3 linked regions of the Drosophila melanogaster genome follow. The protein of the gene in region 1 interacts with the protein of each later gene in a biochemical or structural test. Each region holds a gene or a part of one and is shown in the gene's direction. Other genes may lie near its edges. The genes, in order: Grip91, Grip84 and gammaTub23C.

Region 1 (10,569 bases):
TTTTGCTATGAGTTGATGGGAAATCGTAACTGTGTGACTGGTTATGCATACATATGTATGTATGTATATACATAAGTATACGGGTATGCACAGATGCAGATGCAAACATAAGAGGACTTCTGTTTTCAATTGGTAATTTCTAATACGACGTTCTAAAGTTGCGTTGGATTTTCGGGATCCTGAATCCCTTTGGTATTATCGTAATTATTACTATTTAACAGATTTACTTGGTATAATGCTAGCATGCGGGTTATTATTATTACGTTATTTCAACAATACTTTTATTTAATGCATAGGCCTGGCAAAAGGGTAATTAAAAATCCATATTCTTCCATCGTGTGAACATGTGCAACGTAGGGATTGTTTGGGAGGGGTTTGGTGGGGTGAATGTGGCTGGACGTCTCTTATCGATTGGTTTTTTATCACGGCAAACTTTGCATTGCTGAATTGTTGTTGTTTTGCTTGGACTTTATTATGAATTCTGTTGTTGTTTGTTGGTGCAACAACCTGCATGTGGCTCAAGATCGTCTTGGCGTGTTGTTGTTGCTTTTTGTTTTGTTTTGTTTTTAGTGTTTGTGCGAAGGTAAACATGGCTGCCAAGTTGCTGTTATCGACCTGCTCTGCCACTCCCACTTTAGTAGTGCTGCTGTTGTTGCTGCTGTCGTTGTTGTTACTGCCACTACTATAACTGCATTTGCATTTGCATTTCGCCTTGACAGCGGCTATTGCACTTTGCCACAGCGCGCGACAGCCACAAATGCAATAACAACAACTGCAACAGCGACTAGAATAGCAACAAACTGCAGCAGCCGCAAAGGCACAACAGCACAAACACCGCTCATTTTACACCCAACAACAACTGCATTTGACGCCAACGCAACTACAACTGCAAAAGTTGTTTTTTTCATTCTGTTTTGGTTTTTTTTTAAAGCTGAACTCAATGCCAAGAGACTCAGACATAACGGTTCATGAGGCCCAGTGCTGGCTGTTTTCCAGCTATATTCTAATAACTCCAATATATTCGCTTTAAGAATATATGTGAAATAAATTAATAAAGTATGGTATAGAATCAAGTTCTTGATCATTTTTAGTTAGTTAGCTTAAAGAAATCGTAGTTGTAATAAAATGGCAAATGCTTCATCTATAAAGTAGCCAAACTGCCAGCACAGCGCTACAACTGGCTGTGGTTTTTTTCTGAGGTCTCCGCTCTTTTATGCTTTTGCTTTATTATTTTTGATTTATTTTTATATATTTTGTTATTTGTTTAACTCTTGTATTTACTTGCTTTGCTGATCGCGCGCTTATCTTGCCTCAATTTTAACTGACTCTTCTACACCAGTGCACTTGTGTGTGTGTTTGTGTTTATAAATAGATATGTATGTATATTTCTGCATTTAGTACCCCACTTGGTCACATATTTATAGTAGCAACAATTAAGGCTCCAGCTGGTTTTTGCCATTGTTGTTGTTTGTTTTGTTTCTAGGCCAGAATCCTTTGATTGGCCAGCTTGGTGGTGTCCCCCTTTAAATATATAAAACTAGTTTTAATTTACCTCGCTCTCCCCACCTTCTCACCACCCCACTGCATTTGGTTCACCCGCTACTTTTGCACAGCTGTTGCAGTAAAGAGAGCAGTGGAGAGAGAGAACCTCAACGGGAGAGAGAGACTCCCAACGGGAGAGATAGAGAGAGAGAGAGCGAAAAAGGGTCAACGGTTGAATGAACTTTTGTGCAAATTCGTTGTTGTTCTTGTTATTGTTGTTACCAAATTTGCGCCAAGCATTTCGCAACTTGTTTTTTGTTTTCTCCTCTTTGTTTTCTTGTTCTTTGTATTATATTTGTTTTTTTTTTGTTTTGTTTTAGCGGCAATGCATTGCATAATTGTAATTGCTTAGTGCGTAAGGCAGCGCGAGAGAGAGAAAGAGAACGAGATAGTATTATGCAGTTGCATTTCACATGCATTTATTTCTTTGTTTAAGAAAAGCTACACCACTGCAAAGTCTTTTAAAAATAAGAAAAAAAACATTGTTTAACAATAGCAAATGTGTATCAGGCTAAAATGATGATTTGTTTACCGAACTTCAAGGGCCATTATATTTACTACTACTCGAATTGTGTTACCGATTTCTGATCAATTTTCCCCGTTTTATATTTGCAGCGGACGCAAGCGTTTCGTTTCGGAGGGCGACGGCGGCCACGTGAAGCCGACTACCTTCACCATGCGTGATTAAATCATAGGGACAACGGGGACGTTATATGCTGCACATGCTTATATGACCACTGCCCCCAGCCACCCAATGACAACTAGAGGAGCAACAAGAGAGAAGCAAACATTAAACAAAAACAAAAAAAAAAACACCAAATTACAAAAAAAAAAAACGAAAATTCATACGAACGCAAAGAATAAATACACCATTTATAAGAAACAAAAGACGATATGAAGAATTTGTCGCAAACTTGATAAAAAGAACTTATCCTCAGAATCCAGATAAGGACACAAACGAAAAACAAAAACAAGCAAAAAAAAAAAACCACAAAAAAACAAACAATCAATCGGAATTTGATCTCCGTTTAAACTATATTCATTATTATACTACATAAACACCTACAACGTATATCTTACCTACATGTAACTACCAGCGTAATTCGAAAGTATATTTTAAATATTTGTTAAAAAAGGAGATATGAGTGAAACGATCACAAAAAAAAGAAAAAGAAAGAAGAATCCAGCCAAAAGTATGCGGGGAACCACGAGCAGGAGCAACAGGAACAGAGATGGGTCGCTTTTTGTGGCTAGGATCTCACATAAAGGATGCGAGTGGGCGTACTTAGCACGACCGTCATTATGCCACATGAAATCAAAGCATATTATTTACATGAAACTGTTATAGGCACTCGTACACACACACTCACACACACCTCTTGGGTTGATTGAATTGATTGAATAACTTGTATTTGGAACGAACCAATGATGATGATTTATGCTATCAACGCAATCAAAACTCTGATGATTACACAAAACAAATTCCATTGACTTGAAATTGAGAAAAACATTTATAATATTCCTATGCGCATCGAAAACATGATTTTCCTTAATTTTTTTGTAACTTTGTGTGTCAGAAGACTAACATAATTAAGCTTAATTTTACTTTATACGTATATTTACCCACGGATTCATCTTATTCTGCTTGCTTTTTTTTTTTTTTGATTGAATAAAAGCTGCATTTTATATGATAAGAAAAAGACTTTGTTTTCGCCGCACTTATATTTTAAAATGTTCACACTTCATGAAGAAACAAAATTCGACATATTCTTAAAAATGCGCGCCCACACATCTATATATATTTAATATATATATCTACATATATATATATATAAACTAATGTGTTAAAAGCAGAAAATATACATCAAAAATAAAAATTAAAAACATATTTTAATGCGTTTTCAATGGGCAAATTCGTTTATTTAGTTGGAAATAATTTAGGATCGGGCCAACATTTATTTTGCTTTTTTTTCGTTACAGAAATCTCCGGATATTAAATGCAATTACGTATAGAAGTGAGTAAGGTAAACCGGATGAGAGTTTAACTATGTTCTAAATTAAATACCGGAGGTTTCTGTTTCAATACACATTATATACATTATATATTATTTCACATATTATTTCGCGTTCAAATCTGGTGGCGAAGAATCCTTCTTGGTCACCGGTTCACTCGGTGGTTCCAGCTTGATTTCTGGGGCTCAGGATTAGCCCACATATTGCTAGGTAGTTGGGTTGGCTGCTCCAGGTACTGCTCCACCGCATCCAGCTGCTGATGGCCCATTGCGACGAAGGAAAGTCCTTGTCCATTGGAATTCCAAGACATCCTTGCAGCACCTTAAGCTTTAACTCCCCCAGCAGTAGGTATCAAACACGACTTGTAGCCAATTACAGCCGTTGGTGTGCTCCATGGCGAAACGCAGTTGGTCAGTCTCATCTATGTCTTCAGCCTTTATATTAAATATTAACAATTTTAAAGTTTACCATTTTTGCTTACAAGCAATTGCAAATGCAAAACGGACAGTGTGACCAGGCGAGTGAGAGTTGGAAACGTTTGCGGCCCCAGAGCTGTCAGATGTTTGCAATGGAATTAACATAAAAGCTGAAAGCTGCACTTCTAAACATAACTGTTATACAAAAATGCTACATTCAGTAACATTCCGACAGAAATACATTTTTATAGTAAAATGTAGAACGATAATCAAAATGGCATAGCCTATTGCAGACGAGCGCTGCCAGATCGCTGCACCTTCGGCCAGTGTGTGCCCGCCAGCGGCTAGGACTTTGCCTTGTCAAGTTTCCCAGATTCGGTAACACTGCACTAAATAATTTTAATAAATTATTTGTATGAAGTACGCGCCAATTGGATGCGTTTTTGTCCTATCTGTCGAAGATTTCACGCATCCCGAACAATTGCCAGTGACTGCACGCCGTATTATAGCCAGGGAACAGCTGTGCGTTTGCCATTGGCCAACAGTTGTTGTCCACTTCGCAATTACCAAGCCATCCAAAATCGGCTGTTTAACGCGCGCTTGATTGGATATTTATGAACAATTCAGTGCACCAGGATGTCGCAGGACAGGATCGCCGGCATCGATGTGGCAACCAATTCCACTGATATATCGAATATCATTAACGAGATGATCATCTGCATCAAGGGCAAGCAGATGCCCGAAGTTCACGGTGAGATTTGGGAATGTGCAATCACTCACTGGCTGTCCAGGCACGCAAGGCATACGGACTGCTCTGGCATTCCGGGAAGAAGGCCTCCACCCTTGGGAATCGACCACGTGCTTCAGGATTATAGTTAATCCCAGAAACTCAACATATTTCATGGCATTTTCAAACAGAGAGTCCTTGAGATATGCAACTAACAATACATATACTTATATTTTTATAGTTCTAGATTAAATGTAGCAATAACCATTGCCAAAGTGTGTTGCATAGTCGTAAATGTTCAAAATTAATGTATATATCCCACAAACAATTCAAAGTATTCAAAGATATTTATCCGAAAGTAGATAGTTTTGAATTGTTTTTAAATGACTATTGATCACATATACTTAACTATAAAAGTATGAGCAAGTTTCTTAGATCCTCAAGGTCCTCAATACGTACAATTTCCAAATCAATGAATCTAAGGATACGTAATGCAACACATACACTAGACACTATACATAATTGTAGGCTTCATTGCCCTTGTTTTAATGCACTTTGTTCAATCTTTTGCAGAAAAAGCAATGGATCATTTAAGCAAAATGATTGCCGCCAATAGTCGGGTCATTCGGGACTCAAATATGTTGACTGAGCGCGAATGTGTCCAGAAGATAATGAAACTGCTGAGCGCCCGGAATAAGAAGGAGGAGGGCAAAACTGTGTCGGATCACTTCAATGAGCTGTACAGGAAACTCACGTTGACCAAGTGCGATCCGCACATGAGGCACTCGCTAATGACCCATCTACTTACGATGACCGACAATTCGGATGCCGAAAAGGCAGTTGCCAGCGAAGATCCACGTACTCAGTGCGATAATCTCACTCAGATTCTGGTCAGTCGTCTTAACTCAATAAGTTCCTCCATAGCCAGTCTGAATGAGATGGGAGTGGTCAACGGAAATGGAGTAGGAGCAGCAGCGGTAACAGGAGCAGCAGCGGTAACAGGAGCAGCAGCGGTAACAGGAGCAGCAGCGGTAACAGGAGCAGCAGCAAGCCACAGTTATGATGCCACACAGTCCAGCATCGGATTGAGAAAACAGTCCTTGCCCAACTACCTGGATGCAACAAAGATGTTGCCCGAGTCTCGACATGATATAGTGATGAGTGCCATTTACTCCTTCACCGGCGTTCAAGGGAAGTATTTGAAGAAGGATGTGGTAACGGGCCGTTTCAAGCTGGATCAGCAGAACATCAAGTTCCTGACCACCGGCCAAGCGGGCATGTTGCTGCGGCTCTCCGAACTTGGCTACTACCACGATCGAGTGGTCAAGTTTTCGGATGTATCGACCGGTTTCAATGCCATTGGCAGCATGGGCCAGGCCCTGATTTCCAAACTCAAGGAGGAGCTGGCGAATTTTCACGGGCAAGTGGCAATGCTTCACGATGAAATGCAGCGTTTTCGGCAGGCCTCGGTGAATGGAATTGCAAACAAGGGGAAAAAGGATAGTGGGCCCGATGCTGGCGATGAAATGACGCTATTCAAGCTGCTCGCCTGGTATATAAAGCCACTGCACCGGATGCAGTGGTTAACCAAGATTGCCGACGCCTGCCAGGTAAAGAAGGGCGGTGATTTGGCATCGACCGTTTATGATTTCCTTGACAACGGTAACGATATGGTCAATAAATTGGTGGAGGATCTCCTAACTGCCATTTGTGGCCCACTGGTGCGCATGATCTCCAAATGGATTCTGGAGGGCGGCATTAGCGATATGCATAGAGAGTTCTTTGTGAAGTCCATTAAAGATGTGGGCGTTGATCGGCTATGGCACGATAAATTCCGCCTACGATTGCCAATGCTGCCCAAGTTTGTGCCCATGGATATGGCCAATAAGATACTCATGACGGGCAAATCCATTAATTTTCTAAGAGAAATCTGCGAGGAGCAGGGTATGATGAAGGAGCGCGACGAACTAATGAAGGTCATGGAATCTAGTGGTGAGTTAAGGCATGCTCTTCAAATTGGATTAGCGAAATCGAATGATTTAAATGCTCCATGCTCTTATCTACAGCCTCTCAAATCTTTTCGTACACACCGGACACCAGTTGGCATGCGGCCGTGGAAACGTGCTACCAGCAGACCTCCAAACATGTCCTCGACATTATGGTGGGCCCACACAAGCTGCTGGATCATTTGCACGGAATGCGGCGCTACTTGCTGTTGGGCCAGGGCGATTTTATTAGCATTCTGATTGAAAACATGAAGTTAGTTTTCTTGATGAATGTAATTGAAACTTTTCAATTTCTAATGTAACACTTGAAAATCGCCTTTTCAGGAACGAACTGGAGCGACCGGGCCTTGATATATATGCTAACGATCTCACCTCCATGTTGGATTCCGCTCTGCGCTGTACGAATGCCCAGTACGATGATCCTGATATTCTAAACCATCTCGATGTGATTGTTCAACGACCGTTCAACGGTGATATTGGCTGGAACATCATCTCGCTGCAGTACATTGTCCACGGACCACTGGCCGCCATGCTGGAGTCGACCATGCCAACGTACAAGGTGCTCTTCAAGCCACTCTGGCGCATGAAGCACATGGAGTTTGTGCTCTCGATGAAGATCTGGAAGGAGCAGATGGGCAACGCAAAGGTAAGTGGCTGGCTATTAGACTTCTTATCGGTTGTTTCGAGTGCATGCACATATTTTAGATTGCCAAGTGCCACTCAGAGTGCACATGGTGATTCCAGTGGTCAGCGAACTGCTAGCAAGCGGACTCTGCTTTCAATACACAAGTTTGGCTTTTGTTCCCAAGGTAAATTGGGTCAAACTTTTGACTGATTGGCTAGGAGGCAATTAGGGAAATTATAAATATATAGGGAATATCTTGACTTGTTTGAGTTCTTTGACTGCCTGATTTATGAACTTACCAAACCTAAAATCAAGCTTATCTGGTTGAGAAAGCTACTATACGGATTTTTAGAGGTTTTCAAAGATTACAAACAATTTATAGGCTAATCTGGCAACAGGCAGTTGTGGGGGAATCTATTTTTGTGGTTCGAAGTGAAGTCGAAGTTCGAAAGGTTTTAGCCAAGAAATCGACTACAAGAGCTTGATAAGATTGCCCGCTCTTGTAATCTAATCCGCAGCGATTACCCACTTACCGATAAAACCCATTTGTAGTATCAAAGTGCACAGGAATTTGTCGTTTTCGCCTTATGTATTATTTTCTAGTTTTGTAGACGGGTTTTTCCGTACAAAAATAACATTAATTATGTGGTGAAACAAAAACACGAATACAGATTACAAATTACACACACGAAAAAAAAAAAAAATTGTGTAAAAGGGAACACACACACACTGTCTCGTTGAGGAATGTGCTAACTGGGCTGGGTTATTGTTGATCACTCCTTTTTTACAACTTGGCGTCGGTCTTCAGGAGCGGCGCCAGCTTCTGGGTGAGCATGATGTTGCCGGCGATCTTCAGCTTGCCCTTCATGAAGGCAGCCTGGGGGTTCAGCTTGCCCAGGGCGATGTCAACCATGTCCTCGTCGGCGACCGTCAAGGTGGTGTCCACCTTGATGCCCTGGGCAGGTCCCTCGTAGGCCTTGGCGTTCTTGCAGTCCAGAGCTGAAAGTGGTATTCGTTAATAGGTTGTTCATTTGCTCATTGGACTTGGAATATGCTACCAAAGTAGACATTCGATTCTTAAAACTAGCAGATAACTTAGCGGATTTAACTTAGCACGATTTAATGTATGTATATATGACAACGTTTTAAAGTGACTTCTTGTGCAACAAGTGGCATACATACATGCATATATGGCAAGTATGTTGTTCTGTTGCTGTAATATATATTCTCTAAATCGTGCAAATAGGCAATTCAGTGGCTTTTGTTAATGCCAACAGCTGGTGCCGAAGTACAAACGCCGTGCACTTTGAACTGTGACTATTACAAAATGCAAAACACACACACACGCAAAGACGACGTACTAGTATTCTCCACTGGCCAGGAGCGCCAACAGAAGGGGGCTTAGCAACTGGGGGGTAGGAAAATCACCAACTCAGAGTCCGAAAGTCCCCTTCGGATTGAGCCCATCTATGTACATACGCCCCTGTGCTGCGCGTTGGGAGTGTGTGTGTGTGTGGTGCGTGTTTTTATGGGCTCCATTGGGCGATGGATAACTGATACTTACTCCACTCCTTGGCCACCTTGCCGTCCTTGGTGATTTTGTACAGGAACACACCGTTGACCGCCTTGGCCTTGGCCTCGTTCTCCTTCAGTCCATCGATGATCTTTTGGAAAACGGCGTCCGACTGCAGAGACATGGTTGTTGTTGTTGTTGTTGTGGGGGTATTTCTGTGTGTATGCGGTTTTGTTTTTCCGGAAGAATAAAGAAAATATTCAGTGGGCTTGTGCGTCGTAGAAATAAAAGAAAAGTGCTTACGCTTTGAGAGCGGAACGCGAAGTAATGAGCAGAAGGCGTGCAATCGGCGATTTTATTGTCGCTTTTTTCACTACACTGCCCCTGTTGTGTGGGAGCGGGATGGTCGTATAGCAAGTTGCCGGTCGCGATATGTCGCCCTCACTCGCACCTGTTGCATTCGCATAAGCCTTGTTGTGCTGTTATTGTCGCGCTCCCTCTCTCTCTCGCTCTCTTCCAAATGTTAGCCAGCTGATGCACAGTGGGCATGAACTCAAAATAAAGTGGCTGCACGAAAACCTTTTGCATATCAGATATAGCTTTTATTTATATCGTTTATGCGATATTTCTTTCATTAAGCTGAATTGAAATTCTGATATTTGATGATATCAGAATGAAAAAGTAAATAACTGTATCGATATCATTTGGTTTTCACCGCTTGTTAGCCCACTGTTACAGGTGTGGAGTTTAGACTTTAACATTAACATGAAACGCCTAACATGAAGCCGTAACAGCGGTTATCAGCTGTTGTCCACGATTTAGTGCAAAGTGCGCACCCAGTTTGAAATGCCCATAAAACGGCGATAAGGCTTGAAGACTCTTCAGATTATTTCGACAAAATATGTCACCTAACGAGCCCATTGAGAAAATATTTTTAACCCCCCAAATGCCATATATCGTGATTCGATTCATAAAACGCAAGCATTATTCAGTACTATTATTTTGCATTGACCAATGGATTTCAGTTAGTAAATGCATCAATTTATAGGGTTAAACGACAAGTAGAATGTGCGTTCGTATCAGCTTCACTTCCTTATGAGCTCTCGAACTTTTCCGGATCGATTCCGGCCTTCTTCATTTCCACGGCAATGGAGAAGAGATAGTCATAGCATTCCGACCTGGTTGTAAAAAGAGAGATAAACGATTAGGTCTATAAAAGTGCTCGGTGTCTGAGAATAAGTGAGGCAACCCACATGGTTTTGGCCTTCTCCCAGTTCTGTCCCCAAACGTAGACGCCGTGTCGTCGAACCAGGATCGCACTGCAGCCCGGATACTCCATCATGGCGGCGTACATACTGTCGGCCAGGTCGCGTTCAAAGGGTGTGTTCTCGATGATCGGTACGACGAGCTCCTCGTCGTAGCGCAAATATCGCTTGTCCGCCTCATCGTAGACGCCCTTGATCATCTCCAAGTGGGTGCAGCGGAAGGTTTTCCCTGGCCACAGGAGCGTGGCCATTACGGCGTGCTGCGAATGGGTGTGGATGACGGCTCCCGCCTGCCGATGCTGATAGGCCAGCATAAAGAGCGGCGTACATTGGCTCTTCTTCAGGCCCTTGATCTCAGGCGGCAGTTGCAGATCCTTGCCGGTTATATCCTGCACGAAGAGATCCTCCGGCTGCATTCGCTCCTTCTGGACGCCCGACGGTGCTATGTAGATCTCATCGCTG
Region 2 (12,249 bases), 5.8 Mb from region 1:
TGGGAGGTGGCGTGCATCTGGACGTGAATTTCCCGTGCCTTGCGAGCGAGCAGCTTGGTGACCTCGTTGAAGTGCTTGTTCCGCAGCTCCGCGTACAACTGCTCGCCGGAGTGCAGTAGGATGGTCTTTTTCTCGGTGTCACCCAGCAGCGACTGCGATTCCTCGACTCGTGGGCCACTGCCTCCGCCTCCGGGAAGGGCTCCGTCAGAGGGAAAGTTCTCGGCGGGCAGCGTCAGTTTGTTCTGCCGGATGCCGTAGAACTCATCGATAAGCCCCTCGTAGGTGAGTTGTGTGGCCAGCGGGCTGAGCAGATCGATGCTTCTGTCCAGAAGGATCAACTGATCGACGACACCCTTGTCGCCGTTGTACAGAGTCCGCTCATCCCGGCCCAGCTGCTTGGCGTGCTCCCATACCCTGTGCGCAAACTCTCCTTTTCCGTAGATCTTCGGAATGCGACCGTATAGACGCTGCAGCTGCACTAGGCCCACTGCCGCCTGATACAGCGAGCTAGTGTCACCGTCCACACTCACATCGCGGAAGGCATTGGGCATCTCCATCGATACCAGGTCGACATCCAGCGGCAGATAGTTCCAGGCCAGTTCCTCGATGTTTCCGAAGCTGCCCAACACGCCGCTGACCTCCAGTTGGCTGACGCACAGACATGACCGCCTCGGGGCGAACAGGATGTGGTACTGCCGTCCAGCGGCCGCTCTTCCGCCTGCCTTCACGTGGGCGGCCAGCTGCTCCATCAGCGCCACGCGTGGGCGCATCACGTACACCACATTGGCCACCTCGCGCGGCAAATGAAGCTCCGGCTTGAGGGCCAGCAGACGGATGCCTCGATCAGCGAATAACTTTGGCCGGGTAACCAAGTCCAGCGGTCCGATCATGGTCTCGTCCAGCACAATAACCTTGGAACCCTCAATGCGGTCCAGCTGCTGCAGCAGCTCGCGGCAGGCGGCCTCCTGCAGCAACTGCAGGTTGACCCGCTGACCATGGCCCTTCAAGTGGGGGAACATGCTCCTTTCCTCTTGCCAGAAGTGTTGATTCGTATGCTCTGCGGCTTCCGGTCGGTCGCTACCGTGTCCTTGGTGGGCGGTTTGTGCAGTGCGTTGGTGGTGTTGGTGCAACGCCCACGGATTTCGGCTGCAGAAGATCAGGGACGCGACTGTAATCGCTGCAAAGCAGCTGATTTGGACTGCGCCTGCGCTCAGCAGTGCGGTCTTACACTTACCCTTATGGCACGGTCACACTGTCCGCTGCTCTATGGGCCATTCACACTATCACTTGCCTGCAATTTAAAATCAAAACAGTTGCCAGATATAAATTTTGTTGATTAAACAAGAATATAAAGTTAAGATAGAATAAAATAATAGAGGAGTAGTTTCAATTATTTAATCTGTGGGTAGAAAGTATTTCTTATTTATTTTTTATGTACAGCTTTTTTCATTTAACAAAATTTGTATTTTTTCAATGCTTTGCACGCTTTAACGCAAATAAGTTACAGTAGTGGCCAGTCCAGTGTAAACTATGCTAAACGCACCCCTCTTTTTCGCCAGCAACCAGTGTCACCACATCCTCACAATTAAATACCAACAAATGCCAATTTGCATCAAGTTGCTTGTGCTGCTCATTTCAGTTTAAATTGATTCCGAAATTGCTGCAAGCGCGTAAAATAAAATGAGCATCTGCGATTTTAAAACGGCTAAGGATTGAAAAAAAAACTAGAACATTACAAGGACAGATGACAACCCTGTCGCTGCAGTCGGCACTCAAGCAACCCGGAAAAGAACAACAAAATATTGAGAAGAGCGGCGCACTCAAAAAGAGCTCAATTGCCGGTTATAACTGTAAATTGAGAAGCGCGGAACTATAAATTGCCATCTCCGTGATGAGTAAACCCCATGCGCTGCGCGGTGTGCTCGCCAATTTGATCAGCGAGTCGCAGTAAGTGGATTGAGTGCACAGGTGGCCAGTCGATCTAGCCGTTGCTCCTGCACCGCCTCTTTCCCGCCATTGGCACCATAGTTTACTGTCATTTTTTATCCCACAGATCGCCCCTAACTCCGGAGAGCATCATTCGGGAGTTTCGGGCCACTAGTGATCGGCGGCTGCCAGCCTGCGATCTGATCAAAGTCCTGGTGTCCATCAGCGAGAAGCGTCCCAACTTCGCAGAGGTGACCAAGGAGATCTCGCACATTCTGCAGAATAAGGATCCCATGTACGCACTGCTGGTGTTCGTCGAGCGATACAGCGAATGCAAACCAGTCTCCGAGAGCAGCAGTTCCACTAGCCTTTCAGCGATGGGCTTGCCGCACGGAAACAAGACTTCGGATGTTAATTCCGCAGCCGGTTCAGTCCCCACCACATTGGCAATCGCAAGCACCTCGACAATCTTAACCACATCGCAAAACGTATCTGGTTCCACCAGGCTTAGCTTGACCCAGTCCCAGGACTTTCCCACCTCGACGCCGGTGAATTGCAAAAAGGCCACTGAATCCGACACTACACCCGTAGTCTTTGTCAGGCGCGGCCCAATGGACCGTAACCGTGGAGCGGGCAAGGATGAGCGCAACGACTTAAGTGTGGTGAGTGCAGACTAAGTATGGTGTGCTGTTCGCTGCCAATTACTTGGCCCCTTCAAATAATCAATGATCAACCCACACAGATCAAGGAACGTGTGCTTAATGCCGTTTCCGATCAATCCTTGAGCGGCTACCGCTCGGTGACCAACAAAACGGGCAACAGCCCAAAGTCAATGCCGAATGACCTGGTGACGCTAACTGATGTGCCCGATGAGTACCGCACCCATTTACTGTGGGAATACTACAAGGTGGACGGGGACAAGGTGCCGAGGGCAGAGATCGCGGCAATGCCGCTTCTCAGCCAGGAGAGTATGCTGCTCGACGAGCTGCTGCACTGCCTCACGGGCATAAGAGAAAGCCTCCTGGTGCCTCAGAAGCCAATTATTTCTGCCGTTGGCCTGGCCAAATACGACACGGACTTTGACATACACACGCACCTCGATCGCTCGCTGACACACCAGGTGCGGGAAATCTTGCCATTGGCCTCCTACTTCATGGGCGTGCAGAAGATAATCGCGGCTACCGACGGCCTGGGTCAGGTGATGAACTCATTGAATGAGGCACTGCAGGAACTTACACACGACTTCTATGTAAGGATGTGCAATCGTGTCGTGGCAAAATTTTTCCCTAACTAATCTTTTTTTCCACCGAGCCTAGCTGATAATCGTACAAGCCGAACAGGAGCTGCGCCACAATAGATTAACATTGCAGAAACTACTGTACTACCTGCAGCCGACGATGTGGGTGATGCATGAGGTCTGGTCCTCGTTGGTGATCATTCAGCTAAGCGATTCACGGGATGCCGAAGTGTTGACGTATTTACACGAGCGGATCAAGCGGCTGGAAGGCAACAAAGATGCACAACAGCTGATTATCGGACTGGTGCGCAAGGCGGCCAAGCCGTACATGCGAATGCTGCAGATGTGGATCCAGAAGGGCGTGATCGTGGACCGCCACCGGGAATTTCTCGTAGTGGACAACGAAGTGATCCATCGCGACGAGCTGCCCGAGCACTATTCCGACGATTATTGGGAGAGACGGTATACCTTGCGCGACGAACAAATACCATCGTTTCTGGCAAAGTATTCGGATAAGATCCTGCGCACCGGCAAGTATCTCAATGTGATCAGACAGTGTGGCAAGCGCGTAATGCCCACGCAAGAGATGAACCTAGAGTTCGACCCGACCAGCGAGCGGCACGTGTCCGTCATCAACGACGCTTACTACTTTGCCGCCCGCATGCTGCTGGATGTGCTGCTAACGGAGAACGACCTGATGGGTCACCTACAGTCGGTGAAGCGTTACTTGCTGCTCAACCAAGGCGACTTCACCATGCAGTTCATGGACGCCTGCGAGGACGAGCTGACGAAGAACGTGGACCACGTGTTGCCCATGACGCTAGAGAACCTGCTGGGACTAACGCTTCGCATTTCCTCGGCGCGTAATGATCCCTACAAAGACGATCTGCACTGCGAGCTGCTGCCCTACGACCTGGTCACGCAAATGTCCAAGATCATGAAGAAGGAGGAGAACTGGCAGGCACAGCCTCGCCTCGATCTTAGCGGCCTCGAGTGCTTCGCTTTCACCTACGAGGTGAAGTGGCCCTGCTCTTTGGTGCTGAATCACATTTCCATCTCCAAGTACCAAATGCTCTTTCGACAGCTCTTCTACTGCAAGCACGTGGAGCGCCAACTGTGCAAGTGGGTTCCCGATCCTTAACCTTTTATGCCCACGATCATTTAAGTTCTTCTCTCGCAAACAGGATTTGGAAGGAAAACTCGATTGCCAGGCAGTTCGAGCCGCAGGCGGCTAGTCTCTATCGAGCGGCGTTCACTCTGCGCCAGCGTATGATGAATGCCATCCAGAACCTGGAGTACTACATGATGATCGAGATCATCGAGCCCAACTGGCACATTTTCATTGAAAAGATGAAGACGGTGGAGAACGTGGATAACGTTCTGCGTCTCCACCAGGACTTCCTCGACTCGTGCCTTAAGAACTGCATGCTGACCGAGTCGTCGCATCTGAATCGTTCGATCTTCAAGCTCTGCAAGATCTGCCTGAAGTACTGCGAGTTCATCCAGGTGAGTTCCAGTTACAGTGCGAGGGTACCGGGTGGCTAAATTGCTAAATTTTTGCGTACAACCCTTCTTCCTTTGCTCTGTGCTTCGTGCTCCGTGCTCCGTGCTCTTAATGCTCTATGTCTATCCCGCTTGCCAACGCTTCCAACTCTATGTGGAATCCTTGCTAATCCCCACCTTCGCAGATCACGCAGCGTTACTTTCAGGACGCTGAGCTCAGGTCGATGGTACGTGATAGCGCGGACAGCTCCGAATCCGAACAGGAGAGCCTGCACTGCCCACAGGTATTGCGTAGGCTTGTGCTCAACCACGTTGTTCCTTGCGGTTCCTGTGTTCTCGCTCCCACTTTCGTTATCGGTGGACCCATTTCCGTTTTGTGTCCAGCTGGATTGCATAATGGCGTGGCCCCGATTTTGATAGCATTGTTTCTTTTATTTCGAATTTGGATTGCATGCTTTAAGTTATTTTTGATTGGCTTGCCTATGCATTAGGCCATTTGCTTTCTTTTGTTTTTAAAACCTTAAATGCATCTTCTGGTATCATTAAATTACTAATGCAGAAATAATCTACAATAAGTAGATTATTATTAAGTTTTCCCTGATTATTATTCCTTCTTAATGAATCTACTTACAAAACGTAGTATTGTTTGGAAAAAATGTTTTGAAATTCAGTTAAAACAATTTGTGTAAGACCAACTTAAGCGGTTAATCTATATATTTTATATACTTATTTTTATATTTTATATACTTATACTTTTGTGTATACGGATGCCACAAAATTAGCCTGAGTTCGGGAAGAATTTGTATATACATAAGAATTCCCCCCAAATTCAGTGTATTTGTGACATCCTCACATGTATGTTCCAGTGATTAACTTGTGATTTCTTTGTCCCCTGCTAGATTGAGACCCCGTTGGATCCGACAGATACGTTTTCGGAGCGGGTTAGGCGCTTTGATCTGGAATTTACCCAACTGCTGATATCGTTCCTCAAGCAGATCAACAGCATGGCGAAGAAGAACACCGCCGATTGCTTCATGAATCTGGTGCACCGCATCAACTTCAATGCCTTCTACACCGATCAAATGGACAAGATGTGTGTAGAGGATGCCATTGGCTAAGCCAGCACGTCTAGAGGAAAGGATGTGGATGTGGATGTGGATGTGGACGTGGAAACGGAAACGGAAAAGACAAGAACAAAGTATTAGATAAATGAATTTCATAATCACAAGCGCACATTTACCATCATTCCCCACGCATGTCTTCTCATTTGCCATCCAACAAAGCGCACCAATTGTTACCCGTTTAGTTATACAAATTCGAATATGTATGAACCAATAAACCAATTAAAATGTCCTTCGCTGCTGCCGTTTGCGTTCACACAACTGCAATTTACGGCACTGGACACGATTTTCGATTGCAACGTAAGCCAGTGGCGTAGATTGCAGATTGTGCCGCCAACCAAGATATTGTACTTCGTCGTCAACCAGGTCATCCGCGATAAGCTTGGCCACTCTGTTTAGAAATGCACAAATATCCTAGGTAGCTCTCACCACTGGTTTATACATCGAATCAGAATGATAGCTGAGATCTTGGTTTCCAGGATGTTCATCATCGTTTGCTCCTGCTACGGGGTTTGCGGTTTTCCCCCATCCTGAAGCCTTTCATATACGAAGCTTATGTCGTTGGTATTTGGCCAGTTCTTAATTTAAGCTAGCCACTTGGATTTTTGGAGTGGAAGCAAATGCAAGCAAGAAACCATCCAGAATTTTAACCAAATTTGATGTTAGTAAACTCGTGATGGGCATCAATGTGGTAGCTACGCTGTAAAGTAGGCAACAAATATATTGTTCCCTGCGAAGAGAGCATTATTTTACTAAAGATCAGTATGAGAACGAAGAACTATTGTTAAGTATGATAAAGAGTGCAAGAACATCTATAAATATTATGTGCATGTATATATGTGTATTCAATGGTTTAATATACATATGTATGTATATTGCGAATTTAGTATGCCCTGATTTAGTTTCAAGTTCGCACTGCGATTAAGCATGAACTCGAAATCTGAGCTCTAAAATATTATTGACTGCTTTTAAGTATAAAGTATATGCTATATATAATCTGGCATAAATAACAAGTTGTGCTGCATTCGCTTTAATCGCATTTTTCTCAGCGCCCATTTCCCTTAGTCGCAATATGGCGAGTGGAATTTTCCTGGTTTTTCATCGTTGTCCGATGGTTTCTCCGCTTTGGAGCCACCGACTGTCCAGGAGCACACATGGCATAAATATACATATATGTATATATATGTACATACATATGTACGAGCCGATACACACCCACAAAAGCCAATTTCTAGGCATTTGTATGTGGGTGCAAGTGACCACCCCCCCCCCCCCCCCATCAACCACTTTTGTACATACATATATATGCATATAGATGTATATACATACATACATACCCTGCTATATGTATCATCTGCAAATATTGGAGTATATAAATATGCAGTCGCCAGTGGATGTGGGTTCGTTTGTATGTTCGCCATTAGCCGTCATCAATGTCCAACGGTCATCTCTATAACATCTCCGTCACTCCACCACCCATCACCCACCATCCAGGCTCCCAAACTCCCAGCACCCGGATAGACCACCCTACGCCCACAACTCCACAAGCAATTGGCAATTTAAGCTCGCATGAATTATCGACAATCAATTATGGTTTTTGGCCATGTCGCTCTCCGGGCTCCATCCTCGTCTATCCTTTTCCTGCGAATGGTCTCGGCAATCGGACTACTGGACTGCTGGACATTTGGCCAGCCGGATAGCCAGATAGCCAGATAGCCAGATAGCCAGATGGCCAGATGGCCAGTGCCACATAGCCATATATATGTATGCCCATCGACTGTGTGCGATTGTGCGCGCCTATATATGTATGTATGTTAATTAATCAAAAGCCCATCTATCCATCGATTCGGCATTTACAGACATATGCAAATGAAAGGCGCACAAGCAGCTCATTAATGTGCGCAGAAAAGCCCCCAATAACAAATTCGCTAATAACAATAATAACGGTGACGAAACATGTCGCTTTAAAAACAAAGCCTCCACTCGCATTGCATTTTCCCCAAAAATCATCGAAGTCAACTTTTTCCATTCGACCATGTGAATAAACTATCTCATTATCTTTAACTCCTTTTAGTGATAGTCGTCGCATTCGACGAACACTCTCCCGGTGCGCTTCGTCACTACGTGGATAGACGTTTCGTTTGCTTGCTGGTTTTACAAACGCAGCAATTTTTTAATTGCATTATTACTCTTCCGATCTTATATTGTGTTAGAAAAAAAGTATTTTAAGTTAAGAAAAGTGTTAGCAATAAGTTTTAAATAAAGTTTGCGGTTTTAGATAATAATCTAATTGAATATCCAAGGCAAAGTTATGCTGAAATCAAATGAAAATTTAAATGAATATCTGATCTGAGTATAGGGTATCTGATAGGGAAGGCACTCGCGCACTTTAAGTTTATAGTTGTATGTATTGCAGTTTTTTGTTGCTATATGAAATCTTAGTTGTAGTTTCGTACAAAACATGATTTAGACAACGTGAATATCTCATCAGATTTCGAACACTGAAGATGTGATATTCGAGTTATCTAAAGCATACCTTGTTTGTTGATTCGTTGTGTTGGGATTCCCCGGCGCGATGTTGTTAGGTGCAGTGCACCGGCATTGATGATAACTAATCCAATGTTGAGAACTAATCCATTGGAGATGGCCTCACCAATGCCGCGGCACTGCATGGCGATGCCCACCACCGCCGTTGCAGACATTCCAGTGCATCCGTCGATCCTCGAATTCTGTGAAATCTCTGAGTGCAAACGACTCCCACATCTGTACCGGATGCAAAACACATACAGGATGTAGGAAGTGTTTAAAATCAAAAATTCAATATTGCCAATTGGATAACTTGGTGGTCCGCACTTTCGTATTCTCCGCTTTTAGTTGTTCATTTTTCGGTACTTGAGTGCTAAATATGTTGAACATGCATGAACATGTGCAATATATTTAGTACTCCAGTGCCGACAAGTACATACATATATAGGTTGTCAATGTCCTGGAAACTTTTTGCCATAATACCAAGACTTCTCCTATTCTAGATATTCTAAAAAAACAATAATAATAAGTGTATAATATAATGGGCAGCATGATGTTCGTGTTATTTTTCGTTTCGTTGTTCATTTTTCGGTACTTGAGTGCTAAATATGTTGAACATGCATGAACATGTGCAATATATTTAGTACTCCAGTGCCGACAAGTTTGTTGTCACACAGCTCAATGTCCTGGAAACTTTTTGCACGAATACCAAGATTCTAGATATTCTGAAATCATTCAAAAATATCATTCGTATAATACATATAGAATGTATAATATAATGGGCAGGACGAGGCTTGAGCTTATTCAATTACAAGGCCATTCAGCAGGACGGATGTGCCTGGCTCGACACATCGCCCATCCGTTCATCCGTTCGTCCTTCTTCCATCCGCCACTCTAGCAATCCACCAGCTCCATCTCCAGCTTCCACATGACACGTGTCCTTGGACAATGGGCCGCACTACAAGCGACCCACTTAGAAGGAATCCCGCCCCCCAAAAGACCAACGCCCCTCCCCCTCCCCCTACCAAAATCAAGGTATCCGTTAATTAGGCAATACAATATACAATATGCTCTAATTTTGGACTCTAAAATGCGATAGCTTTCAATCAGCTCAAGTCTCAGTTGATACTAAATAGTTTCCTAGTTCGATTAGATGTATTTCTTTGAATATTAACTAGTTTTGGCTTAAATATAGAAGCAACACCCATTTCAAAGAGTAGATTTCCATTTAATGAAACCACTAAATTATAAAATTTGAAGGCCATCTTTAATTCGATTCCATTTTCTTAAGAAAAAAAGCCCAATGAAAGTATTTGTATGTTTACCACTCAAAATGAAGTATGTACCTTCTTGGATCCCCACGGTATCTTCAAATAATCTGACTTATCCGGTTAACTTGGTCGAGTGCTTTTTAAAGGGAAGGGGGGGGGGGGGGGATCGAAAACAAATGAAATGATTGCATTGAATAAGTTTAATAGATTTTGCCACTCAAAGCATGACCCATATACACGTGAACCCGGAAAATCAGACAGACACTTTCCACAATCCCGAACAATCCCAATGAAAATTGGCGAACTTTATTCGCATGTTGTGGGCGTGGCACTCTTTTTTTTTTATACTTTTTGTGTGAGCTTGGTGGGGCGGATTTCTGGTTGGACCAAGTGCATGAGGTGGTTAGTGCCGAAAATTCCGTGCGAAATTAGGAAGCTTCAGGAAAAAAGAGGAGGTGACGAAATTAGCGAACACAGCCGCACACGTGACACGGTTTTTGACTTCTTTTGACTCCTTGACTGCTCCTGTTGCTGTTTGTTTGCTGTTGGCCAAGTGGAGGCACGTGTCGCAGCAAATTGGGTGATGTCCTGCTCGTCCTGTTCGTCCTGGAGGGCCAATGGCCGGGGGCAAGGCCGCTGGCGATGGTCGGGGGTTGCGGATATATGGATGCGGATGTGTGTGCGGATACGGACGTGAATGTCATCCGCATGCCGCCAAACAAAGGCATTGCGCTGACGTCTACGCACGCAACCACACCCACAGCAAGGAGGCGAACGCCCAAAGGACCAGGTCGACACACCACACCTGCCTCGCAGCTCCGAAAAACGGCTGCCCGGTTTCCGGGGCGAGCCTAGCTCCTTCTCGGTGTCCAAACAATGCCAGCACAACAAGCATTTCGCCAGCAAGTGGCAGCACTCATCGGATGGAGTCGCCAGTTGGATTCCCTCTTTGCAGCGATTGCGAAATGGTGAGCATTAATATGTGTACTTAAGTACGTTATAACTTTATACGGGAATTTCTAAAGTCACAGCTAATAATTGAGCTATAATTTTAAGAGATATCCAAATCTATAGGTAGATTAAGTGTAGAATGTGTGAAAACTATTTCAAATCACACCGTTTTGGAATGTATTCAAGCAAATTCACACTTGATAATTAGTACAAATTAAATTGAAAACTTGCTTAGTAGATTTGTAACCATAACTACTGTTTATGTTCCAAAAACTGTTCAAAAGTATGCTGCAAAAATGGAATTTTAAATTTAAATACAGCTAAAAAAAACATCGTTTCTTCAAGTGCAAAGTATACAATTAACCCAACCAAACTGACTTAATTTGCCACTCGCAGGAGTTCCGCCGACAAAGAAAAGGGGAATGGACATGCAACTGGCTTTTGCCCGTGGAAGTGGGCAGGAGGAGCTGACAGGAGGGTGGGCAGGGAGTGGAACACATGTGCAAATTGATTTCGAATTTTTGTGGCATAATTCCACAATTCATTTGATCTTCATTTGGCTGTTATCGCAGTGACTCTTTGTTGTTCCTGCCGTTCGAATCGACTCGCCTGGCTAGAATGGTTGTTACAATTTCACAATTGCTTGCCATCCGACGCTCCGAGAGGCACATCCCAGGACGAGTCCTTGCCTACTCGAATTACCAGCACATTGACATCGACACATTAGGGCAAGTGCAGGCGGAATCGGAATCGGCAATGGGAACGAAGGCGAAAATCTCAGGGAGGAGGGATTCAAATGGGAATGGATTCGATAGGCAATGGCAATGGCAATGGCAATGGCATTGGCGGCGGGTGGAATCGGACAAAGTGAAGCAGTGAGTGGAGTGAAGCAACCACCACCACAGAGTGAGCAGGCGAGGCACTGGAGATTTCATCCGCTGGCCCTGATTCACGCAGTTGTCCATCAGGCCGTCCTCGCTTATCCTGGTTGCTCCCAAGTCGCAGCTCCTTCCCCTTCGGTGCGACAAATGTGCGCTTTAGAGCGACACCCCGAGGTGTTGGCTATCGCAGTCACTTGAGAGGATGACTTCATCCGGCAAGGTCCTGGTCCTGGTCACATCGCGCATCTCCTGTGCATCTCCATCCCTCCTATCGTACGAATGCGTCGGCGCCTCATCGCCAAATCGAGCATATGCGCACTTGGATTAGGACGAAGTGCGGAGTGCCTATTTGAGGATTTGACTTCTCCAATTGCAAATGCCCTTTGAATTCTCGGATTTTTTGTTTCTGGTTATGCACTCATGCATCCGGAAAACTACGCCAACTTGGCTGTCTACATTAATCCTAGCTTAGAATGTGAAACTTTGCACTACTTACAGACAATAAGTGTACAAATAGTAATAATAGTTATTTCCTACAATTAAGTGTTACTTTGTTTTTAGTGGAAAATATGGAAAATAGTGAATGGTAAAAGTTTTAATTTAACATGATTGCTTTTAAAAGAAGCTATGTTCATTTTCCCATTCTCTTTAACCACAATTTGCATTGGTCGCTGAGTAATGAAATATTATTTAAGGGTTAAATCAAGAATAAGGTTTCTAATTAATATAATATAAATATAAAAAACTTTAAAAATAGGCAGAATAGAAACGGACAAACATGCGGACAAAGCTATACGGACGGACAAAGATCGCTTTCCTGTATACTTTATACT
Region 3 (10,130 bases), on another chromosome or scaffold:
TATGGTTAACAATTTTCGTTTAATTTTCTGGAAATTGAAACGAAAGTAAGATATTTGTGAGCGACCTACTCAGTTGAAGATTCTGCTTGCTCAAGTAAGCCAGAACTATTGATTTCAAGGTCGCCTACACGGCCATGTCCATTTGGATTTTTGGATGTGGATTGTAGTCGACTATCTGAAAGTCCTCGAAGCGGAAGTCCTCGATGTCCTGCACCTGACGTTTAATGATCAGCTTGGGAAAGGGTCGCGGTGTGCGCTCCAGTTGCTCCTTCAGCGGCTCTACGTGGTTCAGGTAGACGTGTGTGTCGCCCATGGTGTGAACAAAGTCGCCCGGCTTCAGACCCGTCACATGGGCAATCATGTGGGTGAGCAGGGCATAGGAGGCGATGTTGAAGGGTACGCCCAGGCCCATGTCTGCGCTTCTCTGGTATAGCTGGCACGAAAGCTCACCGCGCTTCTCGGAGACGTAAAACTGCGCCAAGCAGTGGCACGGCGGCAGGGCCATCTTTGGGATGTCCAGTGGATTCCAAGCCGACATGATGATGCGACGGTCTGAGGGGTTATTCCTGATGGTGTCGATCACCTGGCGCAGCTGGTCGATCCCCTTGCCGCTGTAGTCGTCGTCGCAGGTGCCGTACTGCGCCCCGAAATGCCTCCATTGGAAGCCGTACACCGGCCCCAGATCCCCAACGGCTCGCCCCGTGAACCCCATCTTGTCCAGAAATTCTCTGGAGCTGTTCCCATCCCAGATGTGCACATTCTTCGCCTGCAGCAGCTTGGCGTCCGTCTTGCCCGCCACGAACCACAGCAGCTCCTCGGCCACCGCGCGGAAGAAGACGCGCTTCGTGGTCAGCAAAGGAAAGGAGTTCCGCATGTCGAAGCGCATCTGACTGCCGAACACGGACAGAGTGCCCACCTCCGTGCGGTCCATCCGCTGCTCTCCATTTGCGATGATGTGCCTCAGAAGATCCAAGTAGTGCATCTCATCCCGATTGACAGGGGCCTGCTGTTTACTTGGTGACTCCCCATTGTCGGCCGGCAACGGCATGCTCTCCTGGTCGGGCCCATCTTTCGTTGGTGTTAAAACCATTTCGCAAAAATAATGTATGTATATATTTCCCGCAAAATAAATCGAGTTCTGCTCGAAAATTGGCGGGAATTAGTTATTGCTTCGGTTCGACCCGATAGGCAAGCGATTACATTTATCGATGTCGACCGGTTATATCACCTCTAGCGATTTTTAAAAATTTAAATCCAACCGTTTTTGGCCAATAATTTGAGCACAAAGTTCGAACGTGGGGCAGTAGCTCACTTTATTAAAAAAATACGAATTTTGATGGTGGATCTATGACAGAATGTAATAGAGTAATGGCATTTTGAAATGATTAGATAGGGACGTACAATTTCTACAGCGATGGATAATCAAATACAATAAAAACCATATATGGAGAGGAAACAAAGTAATAATGACGAATCCAGAAGTACATTTAAACACAAACGAAGTGTACATCTTATATATTGAAGAATATTGTGATCGGGCAGTGGTCGCTTCCAAGGCATTGGCTGCGTATCTCGTGCTCCACCACCTTGGGCACGAATCTCTCCGAGACGAGACAATAGTCCAGACGCCATCCAACGTTGCGTGCTCGCGCATTGGCCATGTATGTCCAGAAGGTGTAGGCGCCCTTGCGATCGGGATATAAATGCCTAAACGTGTCCACAAAGCCGAGGCCCAGCAGCTCTGTCATTTTGTCACGCTCCTCCTGGGTGAAGCCGGCATTCTTGGTGTTATTCTTCGGGTTTTCCAGATCAATGGGCATATGGGAAACGTTCATGTCGCCGCAGATGACCACCGGTTTTAGAGCGTCCAGTTTCTTCACGTACGCCTGGAAGAGCTTTTCCCAGCGCATGCGGGGCTCCAAGTTAACCAGCTTTCGGCCTGAATTCGGCACGTACACATTGATCAAGTAAAACTTTTCGTACTCAGCCGTAATCATGCGCCCGACATCGTCGAACTCCTCATTGCCAATGCCGTATTCCACGTGTATGGGCATTATCTTGCTGTAAATAGCGACGCCGGCATAGCCTCCTGGCATGCACAGCCAATAGGGATGATATCCCGGCAGTCGGGTCACCTCCTCTGGCAACTGATCGTTTGCGCACTTGGTTTCCTTTAAAATATATGGAATTATTAGTGTTTTTCAATTTTGTGTGGATAGCTTTGATAGCTAACCTGCAGGCAGAAAATGTCTGGTTCCTCGAGGTCAATCAACTGCAGACCATCCTTTTTCAACCAGGCCCTCAGACCGGCCACGTTCCAGCTGCAGATTTTCAAGTTGAATTCTTTGTCTGCTGGCAAGGCAAAAGCGTCTTTATCCAATGTTACAGTGGTTTTGGTCTCGGCCTTCTTGGCTTTTTTGGTGGCTGGAAAACAAAAGTTGAGCATGGTTTGCAAGCTTTTTAATACGGCAGCTCCACCGCAGCCGGATTGCTCCGCTAACATACTTTTCGATCCACTCTCCTCATCGACATCGGGTTCTTCAGCCTTCGCAGCCGCCTTTTTTCGGCCTCGAGCTGCAAATAGAATATGATTAGCGTGGCATTGATATTAAAGTTATTGTTGACAATGTGCCCACCTGGTTTACTTTCCTCTGCTGCCTCCTCAATATCTTCGACATCCTCTGCCTTGACTGGAGCCTTTTTCCGTCCTTTAGCTGCGGATTAAAGATAGTTAATCATGGTTTCATCATTTACATTGATTTGACAGTTTCCCACCTGGCTTGGTTTCAGTAGAGGGCTTGGCTTCTTCTTCAACTACACCGTTTTCCTTATCGGCGGATTTCTTCTGCTTCTTCCCGGGTGCTGGCTCCTTGCCTTCCTTCTTAGCGCGCTGTTTAGTGGGCTTTGCCTTGGTCTTTGGCTCAAGTTCTACCGCAGTCTCACCATTGGTTGTTTTCTTGGCGCGTTTCTTGGGTGCAGCTGCAGTTTTTGGAGGCGATTCCACTTCTTCTTGTACTGATTGAAAATCTCCTACAGTCTCGGGCGATGGCTCAACCATCTTTCCCTTCTTTGCTCGCTTGCTAGCAGCCTTTGGCGGCACCTCATCCACTTCCGGCTCATCGAGAGCAGCTGCGATCTCAGAATCTGCCAAACGCTTGGTTCCGCGTGCCCGCTTGGCAGCTGTCTCAGCTTTCTGCACCTTCTCTTTGCTTATTGTCCCTGGTTCAGCTTGCTCCTTTAACGTTGGTACTGCTTCCTTTCTTGCCCGTTGTTTCGGCGGCTCTGCTGCTTCCTCGGCCCCTCCATTTGCTTCTGCCGGCAGCTCCTTTCGCTTCCGTCCTTTGGCCTGGGCATTCGTTGGTTTCTCAGCCTTAGCGCGTCCCTTAGGCGGTGAAGACGTCACTTCGTCAGGAGCAGGAGTGGGCTCTTTTTTGGCACGTGGCTTAGTTGCCTTTCCAGCTGGTAGATCGACTTTGGGTTCTGGTTCTGCTTCTGCAGTTGCCTTCTTGGCGCGTCCCTTCGGCTTGGCCACCACCTCCATCTGGCCGTTTTCGTCTGTATCCTTCGGCTGCTTCTTCTTGCCACGCGCGGCTGCAGTGGGCGCCTTTTGTGGCTCGACTTCCTCGGAGTTTTCCGCAGATACAGCCGTCTTGGTGGCTTTCCTCGCGCGCGGCTTTCCTTTTGCCGGCACCTTGAGTTCCTCAGCGGCAGAGTCTGCGTTTTCGTCGACTCCATTCCCATTGGCATTTGGAGTGGGGTCAGTGGGTTCAGATGCCAACGCCTCTGCTTGTTTTTTCACGGCCTTGACACGCGGCATTATGGAGTTCTACTGCTCGGACTGATAGGTTCTCAAAAATGACTTGTATTTACTTCCACAGATTTCCAGCTTTTTCTTTTGCTTGTTTTGCAGAGCCACTGTCGCTTGGTTCAGCACCCGATATCAACAAAAAGAAAACTGCGCGGGCAACGCGATTTTTGCAAGCCGGTCGGCTTGACTTTGGTCTGCTTACAACACTATTTGTGTGCCTTCCTTGGAAAAACACGACTGTGGAGCAAATATTGCACATTGTGACGTCACTAGTAGTACAAATAGTTCGACGTCATTAGTAGTACAAAATGGGTGGAGCTCAATAACCTAATTGAAAAACTTTCTTATAGAAAATTATATTCAAGTTAAGCTTAGTATTGAACTATTAGATTGATATTCATGACATGTTTCGATCTTTCTAACTCATAGTCTTAGATTTCCAACACTTTTTTGCCTTTCCAAAATACAAAGTAGAAAAATGTAATGTTTATTTTTATTTATTTAATTCACAATAAAGGTCTTAAGTAATCATATATATTTTATAACAGAGGGCACACTGCGCCACCTTTCAAATGAGGACGCCATTAAACGCTGCGGTGTTATCAACACTGGACTTTCTTAAAATTACAAAGTACGTCCCCGCTGTGGGATTTTTTAAAAATTTTGTTATAATTCGACGATCTTTTAGTTGTGTTTTATTTTATTTCGACTAATTCGACCTTAAACGCGAAACTTCACTTGACGATTCTGGCCGGAAACAACACACCACAATGCCAAGTGAAATAATTACTTTGCAGCTTGGGCAGTGCGGCAATCAAAGTAGGTTTCTGAAATCAGGACGAGTACCATCTGCATTGCTAAAATCGTTTAAACGCAGTTGGCTTTGAGTTCTGGAAAAGATTGTGCCTGGAGCATGGCATCTCCCCTAGCGGCGTGCTGGAGGACTTTGCCAATGATGGCTTGGACCGCAAGGATGTGTTCTTCTACCAGGCGGACGACGACCACTACATACCCCGCGCGGTGCTCTTGGACTTGGAACCGAGGGTGATCAATACCATAATGGGCTCGGTCTACTCCAAGGTGAGTCCTCTCTAAATAACTTTTAATTTTTTGCGCCAAACCTACTATTAACTCCCGTAGCTCTACAATCCGGAAAATGTGTACCTATCCAAGCACGGAGGCGGTGCGGGCAACAACTGGGCCTCAGGCTATAGCCAGGGCGAAAAGCTGCAAGAAGAGGTATTCGACATCATTGACCGTGAGGCAGATGGAAGCGATTCGTTGGAGGGCTTTATACTTTGCCATTCGATTGCTGGCGGAACGGGATCGGGAATGGGCTCCTTTATCATGGAGCGCCTGGCGGACCGCTATCCCAAGAAACTTATCCAAACATTCAGTGTGTTTCCCAATCAGGACGAGATCAGTGATGTAGTGGTGCAGCCATACAACTCCATGCTCACCCTGAAACGTTTGACTACGGCTGCGGACAGTGTGGTTGTCCTGGACAACACTGCTCTTAATCGTATTGCCTGCGATCGCTTGCACATTCAGAATCCCAGCTTTTCGCAGATCAACAACCTGGTCTCCACCATAATGAGCGTCAGCACCACTACGCTGAGGTATCCATCCTACATGAACAACAATCTCATTGGGCTGACGGCTCCTTTAATCCCGACGCCCCAGCTGCATTTTCTCATGACAGGCTACACGCCGCTGACTAGCGATTCGGATATCCATACCCAGCAGCTGGTTAATGTGCGAAAGACTACTGTTCTAGATGTAATGCGGCGTCTGTTGCAGCCCAAGAACATGATGGTGTCCACTGGTCCCGACAAGTCAAATCATCACTGCTACATCTCCATTCTAAACATTATCCAGGGCGAGGTGGATCCCACTCAAGTGCACAAGTCACTGCAGCGCATCCGCGACCGCAAGATGGCCCAGTTCATTCCCTGGGGCCCCACCTCTATCCAGGTAGCCCTTTCCCGCTCATCGCCCTACGTGCAGAGCAACCATCGAGTGTCCGGACTGATGCTGGCCAACCACACCAGCATTTGCTCGCTTTTCGAGCGAGCTCTCAACCAGTATGACAAGCTTCGCAAGCGCGGCGCCTTTCTTGACCAGTTTCGACGCGAGGACATCTTCAAGGACGACCTCAATGAGCTGGACGAATCTCGCGAAACTGTTGACTGCCTGGTGCAAGAGTATGAGGCAGCCACGCGTGAGGACTACATGCAGTTTTCAGTGAAGCGGGGAAATGGGCCAGTTGACTCCAAGTCGGAGGATAGTCGATCTGTGACCAGCGCCGGTTCCTAGTTCGCTTGTGCCAGAAGAAATGCGTGCCATGCATCTTAACCAATGTATTTTAAAATGTAATATTCTCCAATGACGATGGGATTCGAAATCCTTAAGTAGTAGTGATAAGACGATTGTTGGTATGACTCGCATGTATGTAAACGCTGTTTCGTCTTTTACGATATTTAACGTTCGTATTTCCATTGTTGCAAAATTACACATGAGATTTCCCGATCATGTTTAATATGTGACACATTAAATAAAAAACAGTTTTTAAATGTGGTAGTGAGTGTTTATTGAGAAGTATATTACATATTTCTTTGGTGTATTTTATAATATGAAATCCTTATGGTTAATGTCGACTTGAGGCAGTATGAACTGATATTGCAGTGAGAATTCACTTGTGAAGCTGCACGATACTGCTGTCCTTGTTCCGTTGTCATGTCATTTCGTATGTCAAATATGTTTAGGGTGTGTTATTCAGTTTAAAATGTTCCTATTGTATTGAAGAAGAAAAGAGTTAGATATATAAAGCACATTTTATAAATCAAGGAAGTTTTTCGTTACCATGAATCCCGTTACCCATCGGCTTGCTTACAAGGAGCATGTGTCTTCATTAACCACCTCAGCGTTGCAATTCTCTTCCTCCTGATGAGGCTCTTCGCACTCCTCGCCCTCCGCTTCAGGAGTGACCTCTACATCATTGCTCTTCTCGCCCGGCTCCTCTTCAATGAACTCCACATCATCGTGTTGCTCTTCAGCTGCCTCTTCCACCTCATCATGATCTTCAGTCATCTCATTCTCATTTTCATCATCATCATCTCCCTTCACTTCGTCCACAACGGTCAGATCAAGATGAGAAATGAACTCTTCGCCGTCCTCTTCGGTTAGGTCAATTTCAGATAACTCGGCGGTGGACCTAGCCTCTGAGCTGCGAACCGCCTTGAGGGCCTCCTTGCCACTTATCTCGCGGCAATTGAGCTGGTTAAAACGGTAGCTAAGGCAAAAGCCCTTCTTCTGCACCAGGTTGTAAGACTTACTGCCACAGCTTATTACTACCACCTTGCCATCCTTGGTCTGGCTTATACGGCCAAATTCCCAAGTCTTCGACAGAAGGTCGCTATTCTGGTCTTTTAAAAGTTGAAACGTGACCTTATCGGGCTCATCAGCTGAACGTGGTACTCTGACTGTGATTCCCTTTGTGGCCGGAATATCATCCTCCGGACAACAAATTAGTTTAGTTTCCGGTAACGCCGTGATCTTGGAAATCGCATGCTCCAGCCATTGGCGGGAGTTCTTGTCCATGCAGACAACTTGGATCATTCCAGTAAGAAATTGAATGCCCCCAAAATTGATGCTGGACTTCCAACCCTTTTTCAACTCCTCCACAAGGCCGGCTTCGATCTCATGCAATTGCTGATTAGTCAGCTCGCAATCCGGATAAGTTTCCGCCATTATTGCCATGGTAATACTATTCTGTTTCGAGGTCCATGACGGCTCTGGGACCCTCTGCTTCTTTACATCCTCATGGGCTCTACCGCCCGACGAGTTATCATCATTCGCACGCTTGCGAACGCGATCATCCGAAATCGGCTGCTCCGGACGCCTGCGTCCGCGGTCAGCCGAAACTGACTTGTCGTACCACTCAGAACGTACCGGACTGGTGCGTCTTTCCGAGGCCTTCATAAGGGCCTTTTCATTGCTGATGCCCGTGTCCAGATAGCGAAAGAACCACTTGCGCTTGGCGGGGCCAAGGAGCGATAGCTCCTTGCGAATGTGTTCCGGCAGTCCCCTTTCACCCGATGTCACCTGCATGGATGAGTTCGGAGTGGGCCAATGGCTCCCGTCGGAAGGGCCGCCGTTGCCGGGCCACGAGCGATTGATGGTGTTGCCTGGCTCAGCTTGATACGAGGGGTCGCGACGCATTTCGTTGTTCCAGTTGACTCTTTCGCGGCTCCAGTTAGAGTTGGCCTGCGGGGCAGCAGGGGATTGGTGGTAGTCAGAGGACATGGAGGGGAACGACCAGGAGGCAGAGCCGTTCAAAGTTTGACCCATTTGGGTCTGATTTGGGATCTGTGATTGGCCCAATTGGCCGAAAAAGCCGTCATAGCCGCGATAAGGGCCATAGTTGGCGGAACTATTGCCATTCATGGGAGCGCGGGCATTGAGCCATTCCCGTTCCTGGCGGTAGGTGGCCTCCATTTTCTAATTATTCTAGTTAGTTCTAATACTCACACAAAATGTTAACTGCACTTGTCGACGTTTGCTGCAAAAGTGAGGAATTAGGTGTAATTCATCCGCTGAGTTAGAGACAGCAAATCCTGGCCTGCTTTGCGTGACACGGGAGCCTAGTGTCAAATTTAAGTTTAGTATTGCCAGCGCGCTTTCTTGCCAATCATTTATTATAGTTGACTAGATTGGGCAATAATCTGGTATATTTTTCAACCGTCTTTTTTTTAAATTAACAATTCTGTTAGTGCACACACTGAGTTTATAAGTTTGTCACGATAGTTCACTGTGCCATCTCTATGTTTTCAAGGCAACAGTAGTGTTGGCAAATGTAATGAGAACTCCGTGTTGGTCCTCAAACATTTTGAATAAAACGAAATATATGTACATACTATGTACATGCACTTTTAGCCACCAGTTGCGCTCTTAATGGCTCCGAACGATGCAGTTGCGGAGCACGCGGAGGAGCAGCCAAAGATTTCCACATTTGCCGTTCTGGACCTAGAGACCACCAACTTGCCTGCCTACAGGAACAACCGAGTGAGCATTACGGAGTTGTGCATTTACGCCTTTGAAGCCGCGCTCCTTAAGAAGAAAAAGAAGGAGCAGGACCAGGATGAGCAGCAGGAGCTGCCAGCGGCACCGCGGGTGCTGCACAAATTGAATGTGCTCTTCCAGCCGTCCATGGTAGTGGACCCGGAAGCGGAGAGAATAACAGGTTAGCTGCAAAATGCACCCGTGAGTCATTCACATAATGATTTTATCACCCAATAGGTCTGAGCAACTACTTGCTGGAGCGGGAGTCCCAGCTAGACACGGATGCCGCGCAACTCATCGTCAGTTTTCTAAAGCACTTGCCGAGTCCGGTTTGCCTGGTGGCTCACAATGGTTGGGGCTTCGATTTTCCCATTCTGAGGCAGGCATTTGAGAAACTAAACATAGAGCTTCCCCAATCCCTGACTTGTGTTGACTCACTGCGCGCCTTCATGGAGATTGACGACACACAACAAAAAGAAACCAGTCAGTTGAAAGTACCCAACGATGTGCAGGAAATCATTCCGGAGCTGAAACCCAAACAGAATACTGAAACTTGCCTCAAGGAGCCAGAAGCGGTCGTGAACATCGATTGGCGAACCAGAAACGAAACCACTCCAAATCGTCCAATTTTAAAGCCTACAGAGGCATTCGCCAAGCGTAAGTTATTACGCGACGGCGATGAGGATGACTTGGAGGAGCAGACCCCTCCCAAGCGGAAACCCGATGAGTTTAGGTCACGACGCCAGCTGTTCAGTGGATGCAAGTGTGCCGAGAACAAACGCTATCCCCCCCGCGGAGTTTATAATTTGGAAAGTCTCTACACGAGAATATTTAAGATACCAGCACTTAGTGCTCACCAGGCAGAGGCTGATGTAGTCATGACCACAAAACTGATACAGCATTACGGCATTGATTTCCTGGCCTTCGCCGAGGAGCAGGCCATTCCATTCCAGCAAGTGGTGCCACTTGGCTCTCCTGTTTGTCGAAAAAAGAGCGCAATCTAACAAATTCTATTCCAGCATGAACTTCATTTTAAAATGTAATGGATTATTATATTTTTTATAATGTAGGATTTTAATAATTGATTTTTAATGTGTTATTATAAATATTTTTATAATAAGTATATTTGTATAAAAGTGTCCAGTCCAACCAGCTTTCCCGGAGAAAAAAGTTATTCACTTTGAGATACAACATGTTTATTCCTTTTTCCTTTTGAAAACAATTGAGGTTACCACATTGCCCACCTTGCCGCCAAACTTAA

What was found.
Region 2: the proteins of Grip91 (region 1) and Grip84 form a complex in vitro, tested with the Drosophila melanogaster proteins (one study listed by BioGRID).
Region 3: the proteins of Grip91 (region 1) and gammaTub23C form a complex in vitro, tested with the Drosophila melanogaster proteins (one study listed by BioGRID).

The regions. Positions count from the first base shown.
Region 1 is NC_004354.4:13,738,437-13,749,005, reverse strand, and holds the start of Grip91 (Gamma-tubulin ring protein 91), read left to right. Parts: upstream 1-4,322; 5' UTR 4,323-4,607; coding exon 4,608-4,722; intron 4,723-5,271; coding exon 5,272-6,690; intron 6,691-6,764; coding exon 6,765-6,957; intron 6,958-7,028; coding exon 7,029-7,350; intron 7,351-7,862; exon of another isoform or gene 7,863-8,113; coding exon of another isoform or gene 8,114-8,328; intron 8,329-8,893; coding exon of another isoform or gene 8,894-9,026; exon of another isoform or gene 9,027-9,262; intron 9,263-9,828; exon of another isoform or gene 9,829-9,935; coding exon of another isoform or gene 9,936-10,020; intron 10,021-10,095; coding exon of another isoform or gene 10,096-10,566; intron 10,567-10,569. Other genes in the region: Pdcd4 (programmed cell death 4), read left to right, coding at 2,158-2,230; CG11151 (uncharacterized protein), read right to left, coding at 8,114-8,328, 8,894-9,026; CG11134 (uncharacterized protein), read right to left, coding at 9,936-10,020, 10,096-10,566.
Region 2 is NC_004354.4:19,555,112-19,567,360, reverse strand, and holds Grip84 (Gamma-tubulin ring protein 84), read left to right. Parts: upstream 1-1,596; 5' UTR 1,597-1,891; coding exon 1,892-1,947; exon of another isoform or gene 1,948-2,053; coding exon 2,054-2,588; intron 2,589-2,668; coding exon 2,669-3,175; intron 3,176-3,242; coding exon 3,243-4,285; intron 4,286-4,347; coding exon 4,348-4,669; coding exon of another isoform or gene 4,670-4,708; exon of another isoform or gene 4,709-4,851; coding exon 4,852-4,950; exon of another isoform or gene 4,951-5,565; coding exon 5,566-5,784; 3' UTR 5,785-6,021; downstream 6,022-12,249. Other genes in the region: car (carnation), read right to left, coding at 1-1,019.
Region 3 is NT_033779.5:2,968,481-2,978,610, forward strand, and holds gammaTub23C (gamma-Tubulin at 23C), read left to right. Parts: upstream 1-4,410; 5' UTR 4,411-4,578; coding exon 4,579-4,627; intron 4,628-4,685; coding exon 4,686-4,888; intron 4,889-4,948; coding exon 4,949-6,124; 3' UTR 6,125-6,378; downstream 6,379-10,130. Other genes in the region: Ts (thymidylate synthase), read right to left, coding at 125-1,090; Rrp1 (recombination repair protein 1), read right to left, coding at 1,512-2,171, 2,234-2,574, 2,637-2,714, 2,776-3,817; CG9641 (uncharacterized protein), read right to left, coding at 6,698-8,305; CG3165 (uncharacterized protein), read left to right, coding at 8,762-9,050, 9,107-9,873; CG9643 (uncharacterized protein), read right to left, coding at 10,066-10,130. UniProt on the Drosophila melanogaster protein: Tubulin is the major constituent of microtubules. The gamma chain is found at microtubule organizing centers (MTOC) such as the spindle poles or the centrosome, suggesting that it is involved in the minus-end nucleation of microtubule assembly.